Linked DNA regions of Astyanax mexicanus. The protein of the gene in region 1 interacts with the protein of each later gene in a pairwise test. Links are inferred from orthologs where the notes say so. Each region holds a gene or a part of one and is shown in the gene's direction. Other genes may lie near its edges. The genes, in order: trim32, rabac1, ube2v1 and ptpn11a.

Region 1 (7,097 bases):
AGACCTGCCAATGTATATTATTGTAGTTTTCTGTTTGGATTAATTTTGATTAATTAATTAATTAATTATTTAAATTAATTAATTCGTTTTTGCTTTGGCTTATTTGTTTTGCTTTGATTTAGTTTTTTTTTGTTGTTTTTTTTGTTTTGATTTATTTTGGCTAATTAAGTTTGTGTTTTCGTATTGATTTTCATTTTTTGTGATATTCAGTTTTTGTCTTTTAGTTTCTTAATTTTGCCTTTTGGGGTTGTTTTGTGTCTAATTTGGTATTTTGTCTTCTATATTTTTGATTAATCTAATTGATCTTTTTTTTCTGTGTCTAACTTTTTTGTGTTGGAATTTGAGTTAATTTGGGTTTTCTTTTCTTTGGAGCTCTTTTCTCTAATTGGGTTTCTATTTTGTTTTGTATACTTTTTTTGAGTGTGGGTTTATTTTATGGGGTTATTCTCTTTGGAGGATTACTTTGGTCAGTTGGAAGCCTTACCTTAATTTCTTAATATTTTGTGTTTGGTGTGCTAGTTCTTTTCTGCCTCGGTTGGGATTTTCTTTTTTTTTTTTTCGTAATTGTGGGTGTGTGCTCGTGTGCAGTGGTATGTGTGTGTGTAGGTGATTTTTTTTTTTTTTTTTGTCCTGCTGTCCTGGTAAGCCCTCAGTTGTAATATATATATATATTTCTTTTGTGATTCTGGGTGTGTATAATCTTTTCTTGATAATTGTTAATAAAACTTGTTTTAATTTGGAAACTACGTCTCTGTTCTCCAAGTGTCTTGGGCCTGTGTGTTCTTGTATTTCCTAAGAGGGAAATTCCCTCTAGGTGGCGTAGTCGTGCACTATTTATTTAATAAACATTTATTTATTTACTCCTCTTGCCACATTATAATTACTGCACGCCCAGGATAAGGTAGCTTTGGGCAACAGACAACACAAAGATGGTGAGTAAGAGAGAGAGGCCACACCCAATATGCAAATATATGGTTACAGGAGCCTATAGGAAAGCTGCATGAACCAACACTGTAGAAAGAGCATTGACACAGGTAGTGACTAAAACCCGAGTAAATATAACAAGACTTGTGTTTGTTGTGCAGATTTGTTGTGTACCTAAAAAGATTTGTTGGGATTACATAAATAAATTATATTAAAGAAAAAATACACAATATCTGGTATTTTGAACAAATGTGGAGTAATTAAAAACTAGATATATTCATGTAAATATAGAAACATATTTCTTTGTTGTTAATAACACAGATTTAATTACGTTACATTTACTAACGCTCAGATTTATTTTTTTCAGTGTGGGGCAAATCTCCCAGCTCCAGCTCCAGAACTCGGGCCGGTCAGCCTAAGGAACATTCCCCCCGAATGCACCCAGACTCACAATGGAGCTGTCATCACCGTGAGGGCGTTTGATTGATCGAGGCCTGCGGCATTTACTAATCGCATACGTCAGGCTGACCACACGTGCATTCTGTTCTTTGGGAAAGGTTCTTATTTAGGGAAAAATGTTCAGAATAATAATAAACAGAAGCTCCTGAGACGGGAGTTTCAGGACTGATCCGGTCAGAGTTTGACTTGTGAACCGAGCAAAGTCCAGAATCATCCATCCGTCCATCCATCATCCTATTCGCTCCGGCTCGGCCGGGTCTGCGGTGGGTCTGGAGGCTAAAATCAGGACGTGGCAATCTCTGAACCTTTAGAAATAATTATAGTAAAGGAGCTACGAAGAGTTCTTTCAGTGATGGATGACCATAGAAGAACCAATTTTATTAAATCATCCATGGAAACGAGGAATGAAAATGTGAGAAAACAACTGCAAACGTCCCCTCAATGTACAAAACGGTTGTGGAAACCCCTACTTCCACCGTGTCCAGAAGCTCCGCCCACTTCTCTACTACAATAGTTACTTTATATTCACTAATAGCACTTACTTTTAACTTTACTCTGAAACAATTAAGCATAAAATTTACTTTACTTTAAGTTTTGCAACTTTCTGCAACTAAAAGAAAGGATTGATTCAGTAAAAATAAATGAAGTAAAGTTTACTAATAGAAAGGATTGATTCAGTAAAAATAAATGAAGTAAAGTTTACTAAAAGAAAGGATTGATTCAGTAAAAATAAATGAAGTAAAGTTTACTAAAAGAAAGGATTGATTCAGTAAAAATAAATGAAGTAAAGTTTACTTAAAGAAAGGATTGATTCAGTAAAAATAAATGAAGTAAAGTTTACTAAAAGAAAGGATTGATTCAGTAAAAATAAATGAAGTAAAGTTTACTAAAAGAAAGGATTGATTCAGTAAAAATAAATGAAGTAAAGTTTACTAAAAGAAAGGATTGATTCAGTAAAAATAAATGGAGTAAAGTTTACTAAAAGAAAGGATTGATTCAGTAAAAATAAATGGAGTAAAGTTTACTAAAAGAAAGGATTGATTCAGTATAAATAAATGAAGTAAAGTTTACTAAAAGAAAGGATTGATTCAGTAAAAATAAATGGAGTAAAGTTTACTAAAAGAAAGGATTGATTCAGTAAAAATAAATGGAGTAAAGTTTACTAAAAGAAAGGATTGATTCAGTAAAAATAAATGAAGTAAAGTTTACTAAAAGAAAGGATTGATTCAGTAAAAATAAATGAAGTAAAGTTTACTAACAGAAAGGATTGACTGAAGTTCAGTTCACTTATTTACTCTGTGTAACATTTAAGTCTTGAAACCGAGTTGAAGTTACTTAAATTTATCTGAAATTAAATTTACTTAAAAAAAAGCAAATGCAGAAAGTTGCAAAACTTTTTTAAAGTCAATTTTACTCATTTTTTTCAGTGTACTGTACACAACACAAGCTCCGCCCACTACATCCTGTTTATGGCGTCTAAATTAAATCATATTAAATGTTTGTGCATATACCTACACTGCTGTGCACCTGTGTTCACTTCTCCAGTTCACTATCTGCTCTATTCTGATACACCATGAGTGGACTTTTGCTTCCATCTGGTGGTCTGAGCTGGAACTGCATTAAAAACAGAACACCAGCAGGAGAACTGATCAGAGGAGGATATGGGGAAACTGGGCTTTGTTCTCATCAAACTTAAATTTTGGATTTAAATAAGATTAATATAAATAATAGATAAATATTTAAGATTTAAAAAAATAATGTAGTGTAAAGTACAATTACTCTACAGTAAATGGCATTACTATAAGATAATAAACACCACTATTCTACAAATAATAATAAAATTAAGAATTTAGTAAGAATAATAAAATCATAGGTAAAATTACAGGTGATAAAAAATTATAAGACTGCAGTTACAGATGAATAATAATAATAAAATAATAACAATAATAATAATAATAATATATATATATATATATATATATATATATATATATATATATATATATATATATATATATATATATATATATATATATATATGTGTGTAAAATAAGTAAAATAAATCAAAGAAACAATAAAGACAAGAGGTTAAACGACACAAAATTCAAAAAGTTAACTAAAAACAAACTAAAACTAAAAATAAAATAAAAAATAAACAAACTATAACAGCGACAGGCTGTCTGAAGGTGATTATACTAGGAGTTTAAGATTATTTTGTGACTAGTAGTGGTACAGTATAGGATCAATAATAAAAATGTTTAAATAAAAACCTTTATACATATCTTTTTTTTTTTTACAATAAATCAATAAAATATTTTATTGTTAAATAACAAAACATTAAGATATACATTATTATTATTATTAGTAGTAGTAGTAGTAGTAGTAGTATTAATAATAATAATAATAATAATAATAATAATAATAATAATAATAATAAAAATGAAAAAAATAAATCATAATAATAATTATTATTAGTATTATTAGTATTATTAGTATTATTATTATTATTATTATTATTATTAGTAGTAGTAGTAGTAGTAGTAGTAATGTTTAAGATCAATAATAAAAATGTTTAAATTAAATTTGACATCATATTTATACAAATATGTCTTATTTTTTGTTGACATAAGTGACAGACATTTCTCTCAGCCAATCAGAGCTGAGGAAGGCTGTCTGTCTCTCCACCAATCAGATCGCAGTGGGGGACGGCCGCCACTGACGACGTCAGCGCTCCGCAGTGTCGCTCGCGCAGGCACGCACGCAGCGAGCGGCGGTGGAGAGACCCGCAGTCAGGCTGACATTGAGGTAAGCGGTACCGCACGCGGACAGCGCGCTCACCCACTCACAGCATATACCAGCATATACCATATACACCACTGCACTGCACTGCACTGCATATACACCGCTGCCACGCGCGCACACATAGACACAGGGTGCAGCCCTCTGCCTCTGCACTGGGCCTTAGCTCGAGCCTTTAGCATGGCTGCCAGGTGCACAGCAACATCTGTGCAATGCTGGACGTCTAATGCATCCTGTTTGTTTGTTTGGTGCTGATATTGCTGCAGTATGTGCAATATCTGCAATGCATGCTGCGGAATATTGCAAATGTTGGCTCGTGATTATATTATATAAAGCAAAAGATAAAGATAGAGCTAGTTAGCTAGCTAGTTAATATAGAGCTGGCTAGCTGGCTAAGGAAGCTAATGTGGTGATGTTATTGCATGCAAAATCAACAAAGTCAATAGGGAATACACTAGGTATAGATTTGGAGACGTCAAAACAAGTATTCCTGATCTTTTCACAGTCTTAAAAAGCTTTAAATTTGACAAAAAATAAAAAATGCTGTGTTTTCTATGTCTAAAGGAAGAATAACAATACTAGCAATACTACAGTGCCTGCCAATAGCTCAGGGGAACACCTGTCTCACGTGCATGTTGGGTCTCATAAATTAATAAATACTGCAAAACAAGACTAAGGGTGTTTTCGCACCTGTAGTTTTTATGGTTTCTATGATCAGAATCAGTTTTATTTGAAGGGTTTCTCCCTCTGTTTGGTTTGGTTTCACTTTGGTTTCCCTGGGTGTGATTGGAGATAACCACCTTCAAAGTAAATATAGTGAAAATATTCTGTGCACTTAATGTTGAAACGCTACGTTTTAAAACGCATTGTTTTAAATGTGACGTGCCGTGCAGATGTTCACATAGTAAACAGAATTGCGAATAGCATTCGTTCATAGCAGTATACTATTATCAGCATTTTATATAAAAAAATAAAAGAGTATATTTGACAACTGGGTCAAATCAAGGCCTGATCACGTTCTCACCACAAACAAATCGCTCCAGAGTTTGGGATCCGTTCGTTCGAGTAAAAAACAATCAGAGTCTGTTTTAACCCGACCAAAGAGTGCTGTTGTGAAAACGCCCTACGGTTCAATCCCATTTTTCTTTTGTAACCCTTTTCCTTGAAGCAGAGTTCCAACTAAAAGGGATAAAATCCTCCCCCTAAGAATTAGAATTAGCATTTAGGGCTTTAGTGTATGTCTTAGAATTAATTATTATTATCTATTCCTTAATTCCTCTCTGATTGGGAGCTAAATTTAGCTTTTATTCGCTTTTATTTTATTTTTCCGTTCCATTCCACCTTAAATACTGCAGCCTCTGCCTGTGTTGCAACCTTTAACTCTTTCAGACCTGAATTAAGTTCCAGTGAAAACTATAAGAATGCTGTTTTCTGTCGTCTTTTGTTCAATCACACAAAAGACGACCCTAATTGTCCCATTAACTAAAATATATTTGATTGCTCTTTTTTAATGTCCATTGCATTGGATGCCTTAAAATGTGTTTTACATTTTTAATGTTAGATTTGATATTGACCTTTGTACTTTGTACACAAATCATCCATACACAGTAACATGAACATCATAAAAGTGTTTCTAAATCACGTAAAAAATAGTAAAATTTAACTCTTACTTTGCTTTGTTGGCTGTTGTGCTGACATGCACTTATATCTTGAGTTGCTGGGGTTTTTTTTTCTGCTGCAGTGGGCGGGGCTAAGTTAATGTAAATTTTTGATTTGCTTGTTTAATGTTGTAATTGTAATGCATTGGGCGCAAGGTCTGAAGGGGATAAGGTGAGACCGTAAAGATATATAGGAAAATGTTCAACTTAAAGGATCATGTAGCCTTAAAACTTCCCCTAACCTAACCTACCCTTATAACCTACCAAAAATCGAGACACCCTACCCCTAGGTGTGCAAGCGCAAAACAAAGGGTTAGGGCTAAGTGGTTGGACCAAGGAATACAATGCCCTGCCTTGCTTCGCCCGCATGAGCTAACCGTAATTAGCGTAACGCCTGCTATACTTGCTCACTCATCACATCATCATATTACATAATTCTCTGCTGTACTGCACTGTACTCTAAATGACTCACTTGGTTCTCTTCTTCTTGTCTCTCCTCTCTGTGAACACCTCCGTTAGTGAGATGCATCATGGCCACTCCGACATGCCTGGACCCAGACCTGGTGCGGGAGGTGCTGGAGTGCCCCATCTGCCTGGAGACGTACAATCAGGACCAGCTCCGACCCAAGCTCCTGCAGTGTGGACACTCGGTGTGCCGGCAGTGCCTCGAGAAGCTCCTGGCCAGCACCATAAACGGGGTGCGCTGCCCGTTTTGCAGCAAGGTTTCCCGCATGAGTAGCATCTCCCAGCTTGCTGACAACCTCACGGTGCTAAAGATCATAGACTGCGCCAGCACCTGCAGCTCTGCAGCCGGCCTCATGTGCAAGTCCTGCAAGAATCGCCTGCCGCGGCAGTATTGCTGCGAGTGCGGCGTGGTGCTGTGCGACGCTTGCAAGTGCGAAGGACATCAGCATCAGGGTCACAGCGTGCAGACCATCCGCACGGCCGCTGAGCAGCGCAGGAAGGACCTTGGGGTGAAGCTGACCAACCTGCGAGAGGCCATGGCCAACATTCAGAAGAAGAAGGCAGCCATAGATAATGTGTCCAAGTCTCTACGTCTCAAGTACAAGGCCGTGCAGCAGGAGTATTCCAGGGCGGAGCTCCGGCTTCAGGAGGAGCTGGGCCGCTCGCGCCGTGCCTTCGCCGCCTCCATGGCTGAGGTGGAGAAACTCAACGCTCAGATTCTGGAAGAGCAGACATACCTTCTGAACATTGCAGAGGTGCAAGTGGTGTCCCGATGCGACTACCTCACCATGA
Region 2 (7,702 bases), on another chromosome or scaffold:
CAGGTGACACTAAGAAAAAGAACGCAGACAAGAGAAAGATGCAAAATCATTTTAGGATTATTAGTGCATTATTATTATTATTATAATACAGGCCTTGGCACTACTTTTTTATATACACATATATACACTACATAGGTGTTTCTGAGTGTTCTTTAATCCTGGTCCTGGCACCCATCTGCCCGGCAAACATTTTAGAGGACTGCCTGCTTTAACATACCCACTGCAACTCTGAAAGAGTTTGTTATAATGAGTTGATTACTTGAATAAGGTGTGTTGGGAGAGGAAAAAGCCAGGGAAATTTGCAGGAAATGGGGCACAAGGAGAAGGACTAAAGAACTCTGCATAATCCAACAAATGCAAACTCGCTCACATAAATGACTGGGATGATAATGGGTGTGGAAAGCATTTATTTGGTCTACTCCTCACCTGTTCTTCTTTTTTTGCTTGAAACGAACGGCAAGAGATCATGTCGTGTAAGAATCCGAAGGAGCTGCAGAAGAGGTTCCAGGTTTCCTTCATGCAAAAATCCACGTCTCTCCATTTCCAGCAACAGTTCCGTGCCACTTTTGGGTCTGTGACGGCCGAAGGCAAGGCAGAAGTCCCCTCGCGGGCATATTCTGCGCCAAGCCTCCAAAAGACGCGGGCAAGGAGAGTTTGAGGGCACATCGGAGTCCGGAGAGACTTCCTCTGTCCATCCCTCTGGATCAAGAGGGTGCCTGCCTGGGTAAGCTTCGTCGAGAAGAAATGATAGCACTTCAACGTCGGATTCTGTTAACTGGGAACCCACAATCTCGAAGACTTCATGAAGAGACAACATGTCATAATAGCTCAGGCAGTCTGTCTCCTCCCAGTGCAGGGAGTATCTCGGGCAGCGGACTGTTGCCATGATTAGCTGGTTACCAACAAGTGTCTGCAAGTTTCTGCAACAGAGAAACATGTTAATAATAATAATAATAATAATAATAATAATAATAATAATAATAATAATAATAATAAATAACATTAATAATATTAATATTAAAAATAATAACAATATGCAACATAATCGTGTATAGGTCCTACGATTCTGCAAAATTTTGTGTTTCTATGTCAAAAGCTGTGGGAGGAGTAGGGTTACAAAAAGGGTGCAATAATAATAATAATATTAATAATAATCATAATACGAAGAACAGCATGTAAATAAAAACATAATAAACACATACACACACCAAACACAAACTCCACCACTTAAGGTAGAACTGAAAATGTAAAATATCATGCTGTATGACTGCAAGAGGAAACTTCTCTTAAGCAGATGACACGTCAAAATACGACTCATGGACCAAACATGCCCAGTCTTCCGCACTGCCGGTGTTCTGTCGAGTCGCGATACCCATCAAAACGTGCTACTTAAAGGTTCTGCGCATGCGTTAATTCTCTTTTTTTCTATTTTCACGTGTTTTCCTGATAATGATGTTTTTCTTGGGATTTTTTTGCTTAAGTTAGATATTTTTTTTACAATAAAAATATAATAAACAATAACTATAAAACAGATTCTAATCACATATATTTGCCAAGACTTTAAACGCGAGAATGATGTATTTTTCGTAATGTTTACCTTTAAATACACTAGGGTAGCATGTTTTGACAAGGTGGCACAAAATGACAGAACACCGGGTTACATCACGGTTCTAGTGCACGTGTACAAATTGCGTAATGTCACGTTTCAGCTGTCACTTGTAACAGCTGTAGCTAAAGTTGCTTCTAAACACAACACTTAACTCAAAATTACCTCGCGTTTCAGCGTTTTGGAGCGAAATAAAAGCGGACGAGTTCATGCAAGTCGGGCTACAAAGCTATCCGCGCGACCTGCTGTGTCAGCAGTGCTGTATTCACTTTGATTACGGTACAAACTCATATGTATGTTAAGCTTAAAGCGTATATAACACTTCTTAATTTTATTAGTAATACAACAATACAACAATAAAAATTGACAGAGCCACAGCAACGCTTATTTTTGAAGTCAAAAGACAAATTAACTTTTATTTATTTTATTTATATAAAATGTATTCACCTTTTTCTTTCTGTCTCACACTCGCGTTGTCATGCACACAAACACACACAGCGGACTGCATATTTTCACTCAAGCTGTTGAGTGTGGAATATGGAGCTACACTAGTGTTAATTTTCTCCATTCAAAATCACATTTACACTAAGTAACTCAGCATATTACAATAGTCTATTCTACACTGAGATATTATTATACAGTAACAAAAATGGACACAGTTTGCCAGGTGTTTATCACCATACACCATTATTTTTGCCCCTTCCCAAAAATACAGTTAAGTACCAGCATTAAAAAAAAAATCATGATTTTATCCACGATTTAGTCACACAATATTGTTGTGATTAATACAATTATTTTAGGGGTTGGCACCAATAATACAAATCTGAGTGTTTCTAACATTGATTACTTTATTCACATGTGAATACCCATTATGAGGCTGTGTGATTTATAAAGATTAATCTTAAAATTCTATTGTAAATAATTCGATTAATATTTTAAATGAGGGTTTGAAGTTCTTATATGATATAACCTAGCTTAGCTAGCTAACCTAGTAACGAACTAACTAACTAACTATACAATAAAATAACTAGCAAGGAACAGGTAACTTACCATCAGTTCCATGCTAGCTAGTAGGACAGGGTGACATTTAAAAAATACTAATTTTGATATTTTCCAAATATATAATCGATTTTCAGTTATTATTTAGATTTTAACATCAGTTTTCACTTAATGTGATAAGTAAGCTATTGTTTCCTTTACATTTCGTTTATTTTTTATTTTAGGAAATAGTAAACAACCCCCTTCAACCTTCCTTTAACATTAGCTTTTTTTATTTAGCTTTTATATACACGGTGCAAGCATAGTCCTTGTATTTCAGTTAAGGAAAAGTGTACAGTAAAATAGTTTTTTTTCTGACAGAAGCAACTGTCTATCTACTGAGATTATCTCTGGTAACGATAGCTCATATGTGTAAGTATGTATAAAATAGTAACTTAGTTAAGATAATTCGATTATTCATATTAATTCAAATAATCTCCCAGCCCTACTAACTGGCTAGGTTAGGTAAGTTAATTAATTACCCAGCTAGCCTAGCTATGTAACGTTACTGTAGTATTTGGCTAATGCTAACGATATATTACACACTAACTTGACTATTAGGAGCAGTTCCATGAATTTAGTTAAACTAGCTAGTATTTTTAAGCGATAATTCTCATATTTTTACAGTTTCCAGCAACACTCCTCATTCGAGAACATTCCGTTTTTCGGTTTTACATCGGGAATTTCCGGCCTGTCAGGCTTTATAATCGAACTGTTTAGACAAAGTCGGTTATTTTAGATTCCTTTGAGTTATTATTGCATGTTTATTAATGGAAATTATCAACAAAACCGACGACAGTTCTCTAAATAGAAGGTTTACCGAGGTTAAGGGATATCAATAAGGCCCCTGTGGACTAAGCTAGTTACGCTAGCCAGCTACACTTCGCCTGACACTTCTGCCTGCCTTAGCTTAGCAACAGAAAAACAACCCTAACCAGCGCAGCCGTCGACGGACCACACAAAAATACCGATTATCAACACTAAATATACACTAATATTAAAGTTCACCCCTCTTTATTCGGTACAGAAATGATATAAACCTTATTTTACCACACTTACTTAGGTCAAAGCAAGAGGACGCCCACGGTCAGCTTTCTCAAAACATCCCTTCACTAGCTTAGCTACAACGGGGCATACAGAATAACAACACCGAACAGCCAATCACAGCGCGCACAGCACACGCACCGTGACGTCCCACACACCGCGACCAATCACAGAGCGCTCTGCACCTTTACATGTGTTATTTTTCAATATTTTTATTGTATTTAATTTTTCGCTGATAATAATTGATGATGTACAGTATGTATACAGTACTAGTCAAACGTTTGGACAAACATTTTCTCTTTCAGTGTGTTTTAGTTATTTTTTATAATAATTACAAAACACTAGACTGTTCTAATAGTAAAGCTGAGCTGCAGTAATCAATAAAAATTTGCAGACTTTACTGTTTTTAAAAATATCTAAATATGTGTGGACGGGCCTGAATGAATACCATCTTTGAGGGCTATGTCTTATACAAAGCCCTGCATGTATTTGGCCAAATTTTTAAATTTTATTAAATTTTAAGAATGGGTTTCAGACTAAAAATCTTAACATAATTTTTAATACACTTGAAAAATTTTGTAAATGTAATAGTTTGCTTTTTTAATGTATATACATATTGTGTACACCTTAATGCTAGTGGGGAAAAAAACTACACACTTTGCTTTTACCAAATTGAAAAACTCTAAAATATAACCAAGAAGAAGATGGATGATCATGAAACTATCAAACCTTCAAACTAAGCTGAACTGCTTGAATTTGTGCACCAGGAGTTGCATAAATTTATCCAAAAACAGTGTGTAAGACTGGTGGAGGAGAACATGCCAACATGCATAAAAAAGTGGTCTCTCAATGTTTTACAGAACTGTATATTTTCTATCAAGACAAAGTATAATATAAAGCGTATTGCTTAAAATACATTTGATGGAAATACAGAGAAAGTATATTTAATGTATATTTTCGTAAAGTATAGTAGGCAACACTACTTATACACAGGTACTTACCGCAGATGGCAGTGTTCAGTATACTATACTCACTGTTATAGTAGAAGAAGCAGCAGCTCCACATCATCTGCCAGCAGAGCACAATATAAACAGGACCAACATTACAGTAAGAAGCGATTTTCTCTGCATTCTGTACGATTTAAAACCATTTTAATGTGTAAGTTATATATTCTTATAAACTACTTGCGTGTATAGTTATCTATTACATGCCCAGCTTTTATTGTGTAATATTACAGGGTGTAGAGCTAGTAACGTTAAGCAAGTTAGTTATTAGCTTAGCCTCGGTGGTTTAACGCAAAACTAATCTAAAAAAAAAAAACAGTAAAAAAAAAAAAGTTTAATTTTAGTTAATTTGGTAAATTAGTGACTTAAAATAGTCTTAAAAAATTGTAAAATTGTATTTTTGCCTTTCTTATACGGTTCTAAAGGGCTGGGCATGAAGTGACAAAGATTTTCCATTAGCACACGTAGACGTGGGTAAGCCAGGTCCAGAAAGTAAAGATCCAACCCAGGGTTTTCCACCAACTGCAGAGCCGCACAGGCCGTCGGTGCAAAACCATGGGTTGGGTTTTCACTTTCTGGACCTGGGTTACCCACCTCTAGACACGAGCTAACCAGTTAGTAGTTCGACTTGTCCATCTTAAATGGGGCAGGAGTTAACGTTACATTCAGGCGTCTACATTTGAGGTGGAACGGCACATTTATTTTGCAAATATTTTTAATTATCTTGCCTTTTCCTCCTGTTTTAAAATTAGGCATATAAAAGCAGCTAGCAAATAATAAAAAAAAACAAAAAATAAAATAAAAAAAATCTTATTTTACCTGTGTAATTTTATATTTTGTATATATGCTACTAGAGTTAAAGTAGAAATACACAATATTTTGACAAGCAGACAAAACAGAAAAAGCTGTGAAAAAATCTGTGATTCTGCTATTCAAATACTTTTTATTCAGTACAGTGATTTTTTATTAATTTCTTTGTGGCATATGTAATTAAAGAATATAATTAAATTTAAATGTATCTATATTTATGTATAACCCAGCAATAACGTAGTGTACGTTCAACAGGTTAAAATAAGCTTAAAACAAAAGCTGTGTATTGTTCCTTGAATGGTCAGCTTCCTTTGTGCTTCCTTTATTTTAATTTAATTATTTTTATTTCATTTTTTTGCACAATGTAACATCAAGAAATTATTTTTGCATAATGTAGTGGAGTAAAATGTAAATTTAAAATCGTAGTGGATAGAAGTTAAAAGTGACCCAAAATGGAAATATTTAAGTACCCACTAATTCTAGAGACACAGCCAAGAGCATGTAATATTAAAGCTGTCAACTAAATTAGGACTTTCTCTTGTTCTCTTAGTTGTGTACTTTCCAGCGGGCTAAGGTGCTGCCACTATGATCGGGAGATTGCTGGTTCGAATCTCGTTAATGTAGCTTGCCATCAGCTGCTGGAGTCCTGAGAGAGCACAATTGGCCTTGCTCTTTCTGGGCGGGTAGATGGCGCTCTCTCCCCACATCACTCCAAAGAGTGATGTCAATCAGCACAAGGCGTCTTCTGTGATCTGATGTATCAGAACCGAGTCACTGCGCTTTCCACTTTGAGTGTGAATTGTGTGGATAAAAGTTGCCTACTAACAAGGCTACAGATGTTTACCAAAAAAAGATAGTCCTCATATAACGGAGAATAAAACTGTTAAAGGTATATGTGATATATAACATTTGTTATATTAATATTCGTAATTAAAATACAATATGTATCCATATATTTGCACTTTAAAGCCGCATTAAAAGCTTGTTGGTCATTTTTAGGAACCTAATGACGTATTTATGATCTCTCAGACCGGTCAAACAAGATTCTTTGCATTCTTTCACAAACCCTGAAAGCTGAATATGGGGTGAGAGGTTTCCATTGACACACCCTTTCTAGCTTTTTATTTAAGGTTATTGAGAAATAGAGGTTGGTGGCCAAGATGTTCTACATTATGAGGTATTGTCTTTCATCTCTCTATGAGACTGTAGCAGGTCCAGTTATATAAGAATACATTTGCATCATGTCTAATTGTGTAAAGTCTGTGTAGGCATTTTACGGTAAGATAAGTATATTTGTTTCTTTTTCTTGGTGTGTTTGATTTTAGAAATGGATTCGAAATTGAGTGACCCCTTCAGCAGCGATTCAGAGGAGCTGCCCGCAGCAGGAATAATGAGCAGGTGAGAAAAATCAGAGTTTAAATGTTTTTGTAGGGATGTATTTCTTAAGCAGTTAGGGATGCCCTAGACTTATGTTTTTTATATGAACCAGCAGCCAAACATGCTTTTCTGCACCCTCTACTGGTGACAGTAGAGGTTTTCTTTACGTGTGTATGTGTGTGTGTGTGTATATATATATTATTCATTTTTGTTTTTATCCAATTAAAAATTTACTAATCTAAAAAATAAATCAACAGATTAATATATTTAGGTAAAAAGCGAAAGTAATGGAAGCAGTTACAAAAACTCACTGTAGCAACAAAATCTAAATATTTGCCAGAATTTGCCCCATTTAAACCTGTGATTACCAGCATTTTGAAAATAAAGTCCCTATGCTCTGTAGGCCACACCCCACATTTAAAGCCTGATTGGACAGCACAGGGGATTTAAACAGCTTGTGTTAATAGTGCAGTTCAGGGACTTATTGGTCTCTGACCTTTATCTTCTACAGAAGAGAAAAATGGGTTGCCAGGTCTCAGGAAGAGATACTGATCATATAAACCCAGTGTTGTGTGGTAACCTGAAATACTGGTTCTTTTCTAATGGTGGTGGTTGTTGTTTTTGCATATTGTAAAAGCGTACCTAACAGATGATGCACGTCGCTCTGTCTTCCTACAATGTCAGGCTGCTGCCCAAAGGCATGTCCGGTAGCATGATGAAGGAATGGCTGGACCGCCGGAGAAAGTCCATCCGCCCCTGGGCCGGCTTCGTGGATCAGCGCAAGTTCTCCAAGCCCAAGAACTTTGGGGAGCTGTGTCAGCGA
Region 3 (7,613 bases), on another chromosome or scaffold:
GCCTTATGTCTCTCCTCGCCTACGTCGTGCACCAGTCTGACTATAAGGGGAAATCTATAATCTTATTTTCTTATTTTTCTTCTTTTTTTTTTAAGCAATCTAGATAGTGAGACCCAAATATGTCATACATTTAATGAGACTGTGCGTTTAATGTGTCGACACCTTTAAAGCGTTTAATCCGCTATAAAATGCATTATTTATTTATTTATTTTAATAGATTTACAGCAGGTTGACTCTGTTTAAACACTGTTGCAGGACGTGTATATTCATTTTAAGCTTTTATTTTTATTACATTGCATCTTAATTAGGCCTGTCACAATAATTACGTTTGGTACAATATCAAAACATAATTTATATAAACAAGGACAGCCCATTATTGTGAATAGAGAGAGAGGTTATATATATTCAATACAAATCTGCATTGTAGATTAATATTACTGTCATCCAAACTATGAAGAAAAACATATAGAATTATTAATAAACAAAACAAATAAGTGTTTTGTTGTAAAGCAGTAGAGTTGGTTCAGCGCTCCTAAAAAAGGCTGTAATTGCAAGATTATGCTGTTTTATTATCATTATATGATGACATGATAAAATGACAGATCTTGACAAATCCTAAAATGACAATAATACTGTTTTTCTCAATTATTTGTGAGTATATTAATACACCGTCCATATAAAGCTATTGTGACAGGCCTATTCAGAATAGTCTGCCTCATCATTAAAACGTCATTTCCCTGTGCTAATATCAATTAAGTGACAACATTTGCATTGTGGGTCATGTTAATACACAAAAACTAAAGAAATACAAGAATGCTCGTTCAAAACTCTAAATATACAGATGATTAAAGAGATCATTGACGATTATTTCAGATGCTGCCCTTTGTGGTATAATTACTATCATTGTGTTCATATGTTCATAATTTTTATAAATATTTGTATTATTGTGACTGCTGACTCACCCACACTGTTCAACAATTAAACTACTGATTTCTTCTCTCTCTGTATGCGTGCATGTCTGTGTGTGTGTGTCTGTGTGTGTGTGTGTGTGTGTGTGTGTGTGTGTGTGTGTGTGTGTGTGTGTGTGCGCGTGTGCGTGTGCGCGTGCGTGTGCTAAAGAAAGCCATATACACTCATACCTGCTGTTCATTTCTGTAATATAAAGTTGTTTTTAATATTCTGAATTTTGAACATCAGTAATCAGTCGGTTCAATATCTGTGAACGAAATTTTGTGAGCAATCAAAATGGTTTAATTACAGATGTTTTTTGTTTCTTTCTTTGTTTTGGTTGTGGTGAGCAGAAAGAAGGGGCGGGGTCTTTTTATATGCAAAAAAAATCTACAAAAAAAATGTAAAAGGGGAATCAAAGAATGGTGAAAGGGTTTGTAATGTATCCATTAAAAAGATCTAGTTTTAGGACTGCATGTTAATAACGACACTGTACTAACAACTAACGTACAGCTACTCTGTAAATACTGTTATTATTATTATTACCGGTATTATTATAATTATAATTATTATTTTCATCCTGTAATCTCAACTGATGAAAGTGATGCAGTGTGAAAAATTGGGTGAGATTGTATTTTTTTTTTCATTATTGTCTTTTGCATTTGTATCTTTAATTTTGGTTCAAACTCTCAAACTAAAATTCTACTGGGGCTTTGTTTTTCTGTTTTAAGTGCACATTCATTGCTTTGATTGATTTGTAGTGAAGGAAAACCAAACCACCAATTCTCTTCATTTTATTATGTCATTTAAGTAAAAGTTAATATAGTTTGTATATTTATATTTAATTTTTCTTGTTTTGTTTTTTTCCAGAATACTTCAGCATTAATCTGTCATGCTTTTCTCGTAAACGTAATAGACACATTAACTTAAGAAGATTTACAGCAATAATAATATCAGACTCTATAAACGATATAGACTGTAGACTATAGATAGAAGCCCGTAAGGAACTGTAGCTACGCTTTGACCTGATATTTCTGGAGCAATTTTTTTTTTTCAGTGCCATATTTTGACTAATGTACTTGATTTGTTTGTGGTTCTCAGGTATTAATATCTGAATTGTGTATGTTGGCCTTTTTATAATTCACTTTGCTTTTAGAGAAAGGAACATTGGTTATAATAATATTATTTTATTACTGCATTATACTATAATTTAGCTTGTTTACAACCAGAGACAGGACCGTGTAACATTTCAGTTAAATTTTCTGACCGAGTCTAAATTTGAAGACAGTAAACTGGGGTTTCAATCATCCAATTTTATTTTTATTTCTTAAAAATTGCCTGATGGAGGAAAACCTATTTTTATACAAAATATACAGTCAGAAAATTTAACTGAACTTGTTATAAGATGCAAAAAAATCTAAATAATTTCAGAAATTGCAAGAAGATTTGTTTTCTCATTTTTCCTAGAAAATTGGAAGACTAAACTGATGAACATTAAACTGACCAAAAATGTTTAACATAGAAAGAACATTTTTTTCCTTTTTTTTTTTCTAAAAGGCTAATGTGCTAACATGCAACATCAGAACAGCATGAACTGTTAGCTTTTATCTAGTGACACATTTGCATCCAGTTATTCTTTAAATTCTGAGATTTTATTTGGTCTCCAGGTCTTTCTCTACTGTAAAATCCTTGTATAATAAAAAACATTGAGTTTCTCAAAGCCTATGCAGAAACTAGCCGGCTCACTCCAAACCGCCGGCCGTCACTCCTCCCGCCATGCCGGAATCATTTTGTAACATTAAGCTGTGGTGAAGACAATTTAAGGGAAAGAACACAAAATCAATATTGTAATTTAATTGAATTAGTTTTTGTTTGTTTTAATTTTGTTTTGGGGTTGTTGTGTTTTTTTTTTTTTTTGCTTGTAATCTAGTTTGTTCAGGATGGGTCTTCTTCCATTGTATGTTGTCATTTTCAGTGGATGTGCAATAAATTATAATTCAAGGCTGTTTTGTAATACAGCTCTGTGTGGGTGTCTTCTAATTTTCTACAATAAGTGGAGATATGAATCATAAGACTGCAATTGTTAACTATTAAAAAATTAACTGAACTATAGGAGATATAGAGTGTTAGAGCAGCAGAACATGCTAACCCAAGCATAAAATATTAATATTAGTGTGTATTTTTCCTGTGGGGGATTATTTTAATTTATTAATGTGGATGTGTTTCGGCTGACCGTGTGTTTCCGGTTCCTGTTGTACCGCTGGAGCCCAGCAGGGGGCAGAAACTCATCATATAATGATCATCGATAATGAAGCTGCAGTCCTGCTGGAATATACTGCACACATACATACATTTACTTTAATTATTTATTAATTTCAACAGTCACGGGGACTGTTGTTTACAATAATTGTTTATAATTGTTTACAATTAACCTTCACTGAAGGTGAACTTTATTTACCGTGCAGCTAATCAAGCCAATACATCAAATATGGACTAAAAATTAGAGACATTAGACATTGTCCTGCTGCAGAACCCAAGTTCGTTTCAGCTTGAGGTCTTGAACAGATGGACGAACACTCTCCTTCAAGAATTTTTGGTTGACAGCAGACTACATGGTTTTATTTACCACAGCAATTCGTCCAGGTCCTGAAGCAGCAAAACAGACACAGACCATTACACTACACCCACCAACACGTTTTACTGTATAATATGGTGTTACACCAGATGTAATGGGAAACACACCTTCAAAAACGATGTCTAACTTTTGAGAATCTTTTGGTCTACTGGGTATGGCAAGAGAAATTGAACTCAGGTGTGATAAACCACAGTTATGTTTCAACTGGGGGACAAACACTTTTCCACACAGGGTAATGTAGGTTTGGATTTCTTTTCTCCCTTAATAATGAAAACCTTCATTCATAAACTGCATTTTTAACTAATATTTGAATTTGTTTAATAATCTGAAACATTTAAGAGTGACAAACATGCAAAAAAAAAAAAACATTTTTAAACCACTGTAAATATATTTATTGCAGTATATTGATATATAGTATTGAAGTGGGTAAAATTGGTTTCTTGCTAAGCAAAACATTTATTTATATAAATGTGAATTACTGGCATTAACAACTACAATAATAATAATAAAATAATAATTATGATTATTATTCAAATAAACAATTAAATGATAATTAAATAAAATTAAGTAAATGCTAACAGTGTCCCAGAGTGATCAATTTACTGCATTATGCTCGTAATTATTATTTATGTGCTGTTTGCAAAAACAGTGTCAGTCCTGGTGGGAGGAAGAGATGAGGTAAGGTTTTGTTTTGGGTTGGCGATTCAATATTATTATTATTATTATTATTATTATTATTATTATTAATAATACAAATATTATTATTTTCATTGTATTTGTAACTTGTAATGTTATCATTACTGCCTTTTTGTTCATGCTCTATTAAATACCTCATTGTGGCCTGTTATTGGTGGTTTTGATAAACAATTATTTATTATTAATTATTATTTTTATTTAATTATTATTATTATTATTATTATTATTATTATTATTATTATTATTATTATTATTATTATTATTATTATTATTATTATATTGCAGTGAGTGTAGGCAGTAGGGGGAGAGGCAGGGCGCGGCGGATATTGGGACAGACCCAGAGTGAATCAGGACTGAGGGAGGCGCGCTATACGCGTGAACGCGCCCTCATCCGCCGCGTGCCCGAGAAGAATACGGAGCGTGCGCGCTCCCGCTGCTCAGCGACAAGATGGCGGCGGCCGCCGGATCAGGTAAACCGACTCAGAAGCTAAACGTAGGTTTAATCCGGGCGGACTCGCAGAATCAAACCCGAACCGGAGCCGCACCGGAGCTGCGCGCGGAGCGAACCCGCCGGTCTGGCGACGCGGGTTCCTGCGGGGAGGCTCAGCGCGCGGGTCCGTGGGCGCGAGGCGGCGGGGCTGAGATCGGGATTTTACCGCTGCCGCCGCGCGCAAGGCTTAACCTGTTCCGTTGGGCCGCTTTCACGCGCTGTTCGCTGTAAACTCGGTGTTTTAGGGGGAGCGGGGTGAGGGGGAGGTTGGGGGGAGTGGGGCGTGGACCGGCTCGCGAGCTCGCGTGGCTGCAGCGCGATGACGCGGAAAGAACTGGAAGCTTCTCGGAAACAGCAGCACACCTGCGCGCGCGCGCTCCAGCCCGCCCTGATCAATATATTAGAAAGAGCTGATTAAACTCCAGAGATTTATCATCATTATCAGGATTTATCCGTTTATTATTGATTAGGATCAGGGAGCAGGAGGGTGGGCCGGTTTGTGAGATGGCAAGAGTTGTATGACTGGAGCTGATGAATATATTGATTGATTGATTGATTGATTGACCGATTGAATGATTGATTGATTGATGGATGCACAGGGAAAGCAAATACATACACTAGTTAGTTGATCTGTAGAAATTCAGATTGATGCACTGTGAACGGCTGATGGAGGTCCCGTTGCTTGCAAAAGTATTAATTCCCCTTGAACTTTTTCACGTTGTGTTATCTTCTAAACACAAACTATAATGTAATTTATTGAGATATTAAGTGATAGACCAACACAAAGTAGTGGAACGAAAATTTAGAAAACCTTTTCAAGGCCGCAAAAGACTTGAAACCTTCTATCAAGACAATGACCCTAAACATACAGCCAGAGCTACAGTGGAATGGTTTAGATCAAAGAATATTCATGTGTTAGAACAGTCCAGTCAAAGTCCTGACCTAAATCCCATTGAGCTTCTGTGGCAAGACATGAAAATACAGACGCTCTCTATCCAACCTGGCTGAGATTAAGCTATTTTGCAAAAAAGAATTACAAAAATCTCAGTCTCTTGGTGCACAAAGCTAGTAGAGACGTACCCAGAAGACTGCTGCTGTAATTGCTGTAGAATGTGGCTCAGTATTGATATAGGGAGGCTAAATACTTCTACTCTTTGCACTTTTCCGATTTTTATTTGATTGCATGATTTTGAAAATTGTGTATAATTTGCTCATTTATGTTGGTCTATCAATTAAAAAAACATAAATTGATTATATTGACTAATTGTTGCAGCCCTAGTTTAAATACTTTTGATTGCAAAATAGACTATTTGATGAGAGATATCAATAAAGGCACTATTATTTGGGTGCAATGACATTGGCATGGTGGTGGTGATGGTGGTGGTGTATGAGGTGTTGGTGTGTGTTGTATATATTGTAGCAGATTGGTAGGAGTGTCTGACAGAGTTGAGGACAGTGAGTGAACACAGTTTAAAAACTCCAACAGCATTGCTGTATCTGATCCACTGGTACCAGCACAGCATGCACTCATGCACTAATCTCATGTATGTGGAGGTGTTATTGGTATTGAAAGGTATTGTGAGTTTCTGCAGACTAATTTGGCAGTCAGTCTGCAGTGCATGCAGATGAGCTAGTCTGAGCTGCACTGCAGGACTAAACCAAACCTCCAGGATGTTTTCGTGACCCCCCTCTAATCTTGATTCTCAGCAGTGGTGCTTAAATTCACTGCAGCAGGAATCTAAACAAATCCAAACCACAGGACTATTTTTTTGCCACACTACCCCCTTCATACCTGTACTGTTTTAGTGATATGCATTTTGTGAACATTGTAGTGTGGGATGTGTTTTCATCGCTATTGTTTGCTGTAACAATTTTCTATGTGAGTGAGGTTTAGACATATGCTTTCATTTACCATCTAAGTTGGTGATCGTCCTTATTAGGCTTGTCTCTATGTACCTTTGTTTAAGCTTTTGGGACAATTGGGATGAGTTTCAGTGCACAGCACTGAAACATTTTTAGGGACTACTTTTTTATAGCATATGTATTCCTCCACCATTTTAATGATATGTTATTTTAAAAACACATTTTTGGATTCAGAATCTTCTCAAACTTGGGTGAAACAGTGTCAAGTATACTGTGTATTCATAATTATTAATGTAATAACTTTTTGCTTTTTTATCATTTTAGGCGTCAAAGTTCCTCGTAACTTCCGGCTGCTGGAAGAGCTGGAAGAAGGCCAGAAGGGCGTTGGTGATGGAACAGTGAGTTGGGGTCTGGAGGACGATGAGGACATGACACTCACACGCTGGAGAGGCATGATCATTGGACCTCCCAGGGTGAGTGTTACTGCAGAATAATCAGACATCTGTGCGACCAGCTAAAGTACTTCCAACATTCTGAACTGAATTATATTTGGTTATGTTGGGGTCAGCTTGTTTTTCTCCTTTACATTTTACTAATGCACTGCACTTAAATAATACTTTTAAAGCAAAGATTGTGTTGCCGTCTCTTGTCACAGTGAATAAATCTGGTGATTTTAACAAGGAATCAATTGCCCGTTCTGTTTGCCTACCAGCTCTCATTTTATTTCGATTTCTGCCTTTCCTTTGTTTAGCAATGTGTTAATGAGCAGATTATTATTAAGTTTGCTATTCGAATATCCCCATGTACACTGATCTGGTATCAGCAGCCTGCTACCATCATAACGTGGGTTTTAACTTTTAACACAGCCTCTGCAGTTAGTAACTCTGATAATCACCAATAACTGTTGTTGAGAGACCTTTAGAATGAATATATGTGGTTTTGCAGGAAAGGTAGCAAAAGCACACTGATACTTTTTACTAT
Region 4 (6,908 bases), on another chromosome or scaffold:
TTCTCAATTCCAAATTGGGCCACTTTAATATGTGGTATTAAAATTCGACCAACATTTGTCCAATTTGTGATAATGTGACTTAAATCATCAAACTTTTCAGTTTCTGAATCAGTTTCTCTGATTTTGCTATTTATAGGTTTATGTTTGAGTAAAATGAACATTGTTGTTTTATTCTATAAACTACAGACAACATTTCTCCCAAATTCCAAATAAAAATATTCTCATTTAGAGCATTTATTTACAGAAAATGAGAAATGACTGAAATAACAAAAAAGATGCAGATCTTTCAGACCTCAAAGTTTTAAGAGTTCAGAAATAATCAATATTTGGTGGAATAATCCTGGTTTTTAATCACAGTTTTTTTTTCATGCATCTTGGCATCATGTTCTCTTCCACCAGTCTTACACACTGCTTTTGGATAACTTTATGCTGCTTTACTCCTGGTGTAAAAATTCAAGCAGTTCAGTTTGGTGGTTTGATGGCTTGTGATCATCCATCTTCCTCTTGAATATAAAGTTGGATATAAATCACATTAAAAAGATAAATAATCATCAGATTTGGTGAGAAAATCAGATTTGGGTCATTTTTCTACCTGCTACCCACACTTCTACACTGATCACATTTAATATTTAAAACCCTTTAAATTTCTTTAACCACCACACTGCCGTTAGTCCGTGCTGTTCTCACACGATGCACAGGCAGCCCTGATTTCAATTAACAGACACACACCAACCCCTGGCAACAGTTAGCGTTAAGCTAATCGTTACAGTATACGTTAAAATAAGCTTCATTATGCTGCCTACGCCTACCATCCCAGCTGTCACCACCGCCTGAGAAGGGAAGAAGTGAGAGTTACGGCACAGAAAATAACCTTAATTTACTAAATTACATAAAATACATAAAAAAATATATTTCTTTAATCATGACAGTAATAACATATGCTTTGTTTCTAAAGCACTTTTTAAGAGTTGAAAATAAAAATGTAAAAAAATAATAATAATAACGTAAAATAAATAAAATAACTAAAGTAATAACACAGTGAAACCTGTAAACAAACAGTGTGGTTGCACGTTTCAGTTTTTAAGAACAATGAAAACATTTTTAACTGTCCAATGGTTTAATATGGTTAGCGGCTAATGCTAATGCTGCTGCACCCAGCCTTAGTGCTGGAGAAACTTTACTGAAAACTCACCCTTAAACAAAATATTGGAATTCTTAGCTTACTGTAAATAAATTTACTCACCCAAATAAACAGCTTTCGGAAGAGAAACATGTTTGACTTTAAAACTAAATATATATATATTTTTTGTTTTTTTAAGAATCATAGTTTTGTTTACTTGCTCACTTCAATGTAAGCATCCTTACTAGTGTCTCTTAATGCGCCTTACAATCTGGTGGTCCCTATACTCCGAAAAATATGGTAATATCTAACCCAGCCTCACTGAACCCTCTCTAAAAACGAACCCACCTTCCGTCTCCATGTCTTGACCTTTGGGAGCTTCTCCGATGTCGATGGTGAACATGACGATTTTGGGGGTCATGGTGGACATCTTGTTACTGAAGCAGAACTTGTAGGTTCCGTCCATATGAGCCGCCACAGAGTACTTCCCACTGGACTCACGGTCTCCTTTATATATCTGCTTTCCATCAGGTCCAGTTATCTGGAGATGATTTTAGATTAATTATTTAGAGAGGTAAACATGCACAAGTTTTAGGGGTTAATTTTTCTTTTATGATATAAAATGTAGATATAATACAAACATCTAAAATTATAGTACACATTTTACAGCACACCTTTACTCTACCTCTTACACCTGCACTTGCCCTCCACCTTTCCTCACCTCCACCCTCCATCACCTCAGATTCACCTTCTCTCTTCCTCATCTCCACCTTCAACTTCTGCACATCCACCCTCCCTCGGTCATCTTTCAATTTCTCTCACCTCACTTAGCTCCACTTCTTTCACCCCTACCTGTTCTTACCTCCACTCTTTCTTACCTACAACCGTCTCTCGCTTACACCTACACCATACCTAAACAAGACCTCCCTCACCTTTGACTCCTACACCTCCACCTGCCCTCACCTTTAACTCCTCCACCCTCTCCCACCTCTACCTGCCAAAAAATACCTCCTTTACCATTAAGTCCTACACCTCCACCTGCCCTCATCTTTAACTCCTCCACCCTCTCCCACCTCTACCTGCCAAACAAGACCTCCTTCACCTTTAACTCCTACACCTCCACCTGCCCTCACCTTTAACTCCTACACCTCCACCTACCCTCACCTTTAACTCCTACACCTCCACCTGCCCTCACCTTTAACTCCTCCACCCTCTCCCACCTCTACCTGCCAAAAAAAACCTCCTTTACCATTAAGTCCTACACCTCCACCTGCCCTCACCTTTAACTCCTACACCTCCACCTGCCTAAACAAGACCTACCTTACCTTTGACTCCAACACCTCCTCCACCTCCCTCCCTTTACCTCCACCTGTTTCACCTTTACCTGCCCCCCTCTCTCACCTCCACGTCTATATCCAGGAATCCTCCCTCCGCCACCTCGAACATCAGGCCCATCTTGGTACCGGAGTTCACGCGCTCATAGAAACACTCCTCCGCGTGCGCGTCCACACTAACAAAGTACCCGGATGCCGAGGCGGCGAGCGCGGCCAGCAGCAGCAGCAGCGCGAGCTCCGGGCCCGGGGACATCCTCCAGCGGGGACCGGGAACCGGGAACAGGGGGAACTAGGACTGGGGAACTGGTTTAGCCGGGCTGGATCAGCACAGAGCTGCAGCCGGACTGCCACGTACAGCCTTCTGACCGAGAGCGGGGAGGGACAAACAGAGCGGCGTAGAAACGCGAAGCTAAAATAACACAGTTCGTCGGTCGGTAATACAAACCTAATTAATACCGATATCTGATATAAACTACAACAGCACATTCAGAGAAAAACTAAATGAATCTTAACTTTTAATAAAAAAAATAATAAAATGATTTTAATGTAATAATAAACATTTAATAAACACTCAATAAATTGTTTCCTCCAACGATTTAATAAATTGTTGACTTAGGTTAATGAATTATTCCTATAATTACTAATCATATATTTTTTCTCTCAGCTAATAAGTTGTTTCATTAGTTTAATAAATATTTTTCTTTATACTGTATAATAAACAATTATCTCATTTTAAAACGTAAGTCATTCCTTCAGTTTAATTAAGTGTTCCCCAATTTTATTAAATTGTTCCTTCAGTTTAATAACTTAATCCTGCAGACAAATTAATTTTTCTCTCATCTTAAAACTTTGTTCTGTGAATTTAAGGAATTATCCATCAGTTTATAAATAATTCCCTCAGAAATAATCCCTCAATATAATAAAGTATTGTCTTAATTTAATACATAAATAATTTCTTCAATTTAATATACCCTTAATAATATGTTTCCTAGGTTTAATGAACATTTTCTCAATTTAACCAGTTATTCCCATTATTTAATACATAATTCCCTTAATTGAAGTTAACAAGCTGTTTTCTTCGTTTAATTAAATGTTCCCTTAATTTAATAAATCAATCATACATTCATTAGTTTAAATTCTTTAGATATATGTTTTTCTACCTCGTTATTATTAGTATTATTTCTAATCTATCTCAGTGTTATATCTTAATGTTTTTTATTTTACAATTCGTGTATGTCTTATGAGTCTTATTTGTATTTAAAATATAGATGCAATACAAATAAATACCTTCATATTTTGCATGCTGTAATTAAGTGTGCTGCCTGCATTATCCCAAATTGCGTGCTAATCACTATCACTATGTAGTCAGTAGGGGAGGAGTGTGCGGTCTGTGATTTGGGACGGAGCCCCGCCGTGTGTTTGCACCGCTAGAGGCCGCCGCCGCTGAGCGCGGGCAGTCCAGCCGAGCCGCCGTGTCGCATGTTCGGTGACGTTCTCCAACTCGACTGGAAAGGTCTCCGATGCCGAGGCCTAGCGAGCTCTGTAGCCGCTCCTCTGATCCGGTTCCAGCAGATGAACACGGTGCCGAACCCGTCCTGAGCGGGCCCGGTTCTACACGGCGCGGTCGGCCCGGAGAGTGAAGTGACTGGAAGCGGAGCGGAGCGGCGGAACCGAGGCTGGGGAAGATGACATCCCGGAGGTGAGGCTGAGGAGAGGAAAAACAAACTAGTGTCAGATGTTTCTGAACCGGGGAGAGAGCTGGGAGTTCGGACAAGGGTTCTGAGGACGTGTTTGGATCAGAACCAAAGTCCAAAAATGGAAAAGTTTCAATTGGTGCGGAGAGGAAGCTGGGAAACCGCTTCAAACTTGGTTTGTGTGCTCGATTACTTAGTTTTAGCTGATCCAGGTCTGGAAAGTGAGAACCCGCTCCGGGATTTCGGTTCAGCTGCTTAGGCTGCTCTGCTGCAGCAAAGAGACTGATTTATTGAATTATGAGAATGAGTTATTAAATTATGGGAATTCTTTAATAAATTGTTGGTATGATTTAATAAATGATGAGAATGATGAGTGATTTATTAAATTATGGGAATTATTTATTCAATTATGGTAACGGTTCATTAAACTTGGGAAACATATTGTTAAGAGCTTATTAAATTGAAGAAATTATTTAACCATTTATTAAATTAAGTTGTTTATTAAATTCAGGGATTATTTCTTAAACGTAGGTGATTATTTCTTAAAATTACGGAACAATTTATCAAGACGAGAAAAAAATGTATTTGCCTGATGGATTCATTTATTATTTGAAAAAAACAATTTACGTTTTGAAAGAATGATTTGTTAAATAGAGGAAATTATTTATAAAACTGATGAAACAACTTGTTAGATGAGAGAAAAAATAGCTTTAAAAAAGAAATAATGATTATTTAATATTATTATTTTTTCAATAGAGTGAGGACTAATGGACTAATTTATTAAACTATGAGATTAATTCGTTAAACTAATTGGTCAATTATTTAAATTAAGGCAATAGTTTGTTAATTTGAGGAAACAATTGAGCTGCAGGCGAGCCGCCAAATCCCGGAGCGGATTCTCATTTTTCGGACCTGGATTAGGCACCGGACTGGATCCCTACTTTCTACAACTATTTAGTTAGCAGTGCAGTGCGCTAAAGCTAAACAGCTAATTGTAGCTAAGCGAAAAAGGCTAACTAAGCTAATGTTCAAAAATTAAACATTATATTTCATACACAATCTAAACAAACATTTAAACACAGAAAGCAGCCAATAAAGCAATGAAACACCGCGTTTTTGTCGTTTTTACCACAGCTTCTGTGCTCAGGGACACGTCACAGCTAGTGCTAACTACACAGCTAACAAGCTAACTAGCTAACTGGCTAACGACTGAACGCTATCACGTTTCTACGACTTTTTAAAGCTTTAAACATTTTCAAAACGTTGTTAAAACTTGCTCACTGCCTCCTATAATTGCGATATATCGCTAGCTAACGTTGTCAAAACGTTCTGAGAAGAAATGAGTTAGCTGAGAAGTTGGCTAGCTGCATTTCAATGTTGTGACAACGTTTTAGGCATCAAAACACTAGCGTTAGGTTGGCACGACGTTGCACACTTTCTTGCAGTTGTGTTGAAAGGTCGAGACAACGTTAAGTACTTTTCTACTCGTTTGATGCGATGTTTCAGACTCTGAACTGAAAAGGCTTCATTTTGTTGACTAACGTTAAAGTTTTCAGGCCTTTATAAAACTACCAACGTTCTTACGACGTTTAAAAAAAAGGTGGTGCTGTTTGTGTTGTCATTGAAAGTTAGGAAGATAACTGACGTTAACCTACTGACAAGTAGTTAGGTGCATATAAATGTTGTGACAACATTGTGTGCACCAAAACAAAAGATTGACACAACGTTGCACACTTTTTTGCTGTTGTGTTGAATGGTTGAGGCAACGTTGTAAACGTTGTTTCAGAAGCTTCAGGTTCAGGCCTTTTTAAAACTTTCTTACAACATTGTCAAAAGGTGGTGCTGATGTGTTGGTTGTCAGAAAGTTTGTCACAACGTTGTTATAAAGAGTACTAGATTGCTGTTAGAGAGACGGCTAATGTTGTCGGAACGTTCTGAAAAGAAATTAGCTGCATATCGTTGTTGTGACAATGTTTTGTGCACGTCTTTTTATGCAACTTTCCAACTTTGCTTCAATGTTTGTGGTCTCAAAAACAGTGTGGCAATGTTGTCTAAAGGTGGTGTTAAAAATGTTGTAGCAATGTTTTCTACTTTCCTACAACTTTGGTGGTGGTGTGGGAAGTTGGTGTTGTTTACATTGTCTCAGACAATATTCTCACAACATTGTCTACTTTTTTACAAGTTTGCTACAATGTTGTGAGCAGCTGGTGGTGTTTATGTTGTCTCAACCAACATCGTCACAACGTTGTGTACTGTCTTGCAATGTTGCTACATTACTGTAGTCCAAGAGAGGTGTTGTTTACATTGTAACATCAAAAATGTTGCCATAATGTTGCCAATTCTTGAATGTTGTAGATAATGTTGTTACAACTTTCAGAGGAATTGCATTTAAGCATTTCAGTGTTGAGAAAATGTTGTGTTGACACAACAAAGCCTACTTTCTTACAGTGGTGTGTGTGGGAAGATGATACTGTTTAACATGCAATGTTGTTAAAACCTTGTCTACTTTGCCATAACAATAGTTTGACACAACATTTGTATGACATTGTCCACGTGTCTTAATACTGTTTCTATTGCCTCAGACAATGTTGTCACAATGTTGCTTTTTTATAATGTTGTTACAACTTCGTCAAAAGGTGTCTGTTATCGCCGTCTTAAAAAATGTTGACACAACATTGTGTAATTTTTAAAAAATTTCAGTGCTGAAAAAAAAGTTGTGTTCACCAAAAAAAAATAGGTTGGCACAACATACTTATAACA

The links.
Region 2: the proteins of trim32 (region 1) and rabac1 interact in binary tests that used the Homo sapiens proteins (3 or more experiments, as listed by UniProt). The two-hybrid records come from large-scale screens. The link is inferred for Astyanax mexicanus from reciprocal best matches to the Homo sapiens genes TRIM32 and RABAC1.
Region 3: the proteins of trim32 (region 1) and ube2v1 interact in binary tests that used the Homo sapiens proteins (3 or more experiments, as listed by UniProt). The link is inferred for Astyanax mexicanus from reciprocal best matches to the Homo sapiens genes TRIM32 and UBE2V1.
Region 4: the proteins of trim32 (region 1) and ptpn11a interact in binary tests that used the Homo sapiens proteins (3 or more experiments, as listed by UniProt). The link is inferred for Astyanax mexicanus from reciprocal best matches to the Homo sapiens genes TRIM32 and PTPN11.

The regions. Positions count from the first base shown.
Region 1 is NC_064408.1:6,800,145-6,807,241, reverse strand, and holds the start of trim32 (E3 ubiquitin-protein ligase TRIM32), read left to right. Parts: upstream 1-4,086; 5' UTR 4,087-4,188; intron 4,189-6,359; 5' UTR 6,360-6,370; coding exon 6,371-7,097. UniProt on the Homo sapiens protein: E3 ubiquitin ligase that plays a role in various biological processes including neural stem cell differentiation, innate immunity, inflammatory resonse and autophagy.
Region 2 is NC_064413.1:5,389,698-5,397,399, reverse strand, and holds the start of rabac1 (prenylated Rab acceptor protein 1), read left to right. Parts: upstream 1-4,681; 5' UTR 4,682-4,795; intron 4,796-6,827; 5' UTR 6,828-6,829; coding exon 6,830-6,900; intron 6,901-7,563; coding exon 7,564-7,702. Other genes in the region: dedd1 (death effector domain-containing 1), read right to left, coding at 1-9, 427-886. UniProt on the Homo sapiens protein: General Rab protein regulator required for vesicle formation from the Golgi complex. May control vesicle docking and fusion by mediating the action of Rab GTPases to the SNARE complexes.
Region 3 is NC_064431.1:14,978,288-14,985,900, reverse strand, and holds the start of ube2v1 (ubiquitin-conjugating enzyme E2 variant 1), read left to right. Parts: upstream 1-4,595; 5' UTR 4,596-4,727; coding exon 4,728-4,749; intron 4,750-6,956; coding exon 6,957-7,105; intron 7,106-7,613. UniProt on the Homo sapiens protein: Has no ubiquitin ligase activity on its own. The UBE2V1-UBE2N heterodimer catalyzes the synthesis of non-canonical poly-ubiquitin chains that are linked through Lys-63.
Region 4 is NC_064427.1:890,317-897,224, forward strand, and holds the start of ptpn11a (tyrosine-protein phosphatase non-receptor type 11), read left to right. Parts: upstream 1-3,887; 5' UTR 3,888-4,139; coding exon 4,140-4,153; intron 4,154-6,908. Other genes in the region: tmed2 (transmembrane emp24 domain-containing protein 2), read right to left, coding at 810-830, 1,469-1,661, 2,522-2,707. UniProt on the Homo sapiens protein: Acts downstream of various receptor and cytoplasmic protein tyrosine kinases to participate in the signal transduction from the cell surface to the nucleus. Positively regulates MAPK signal transduction pathway. Dephosphorylates GAB1, ARHGAP35 and EGFR.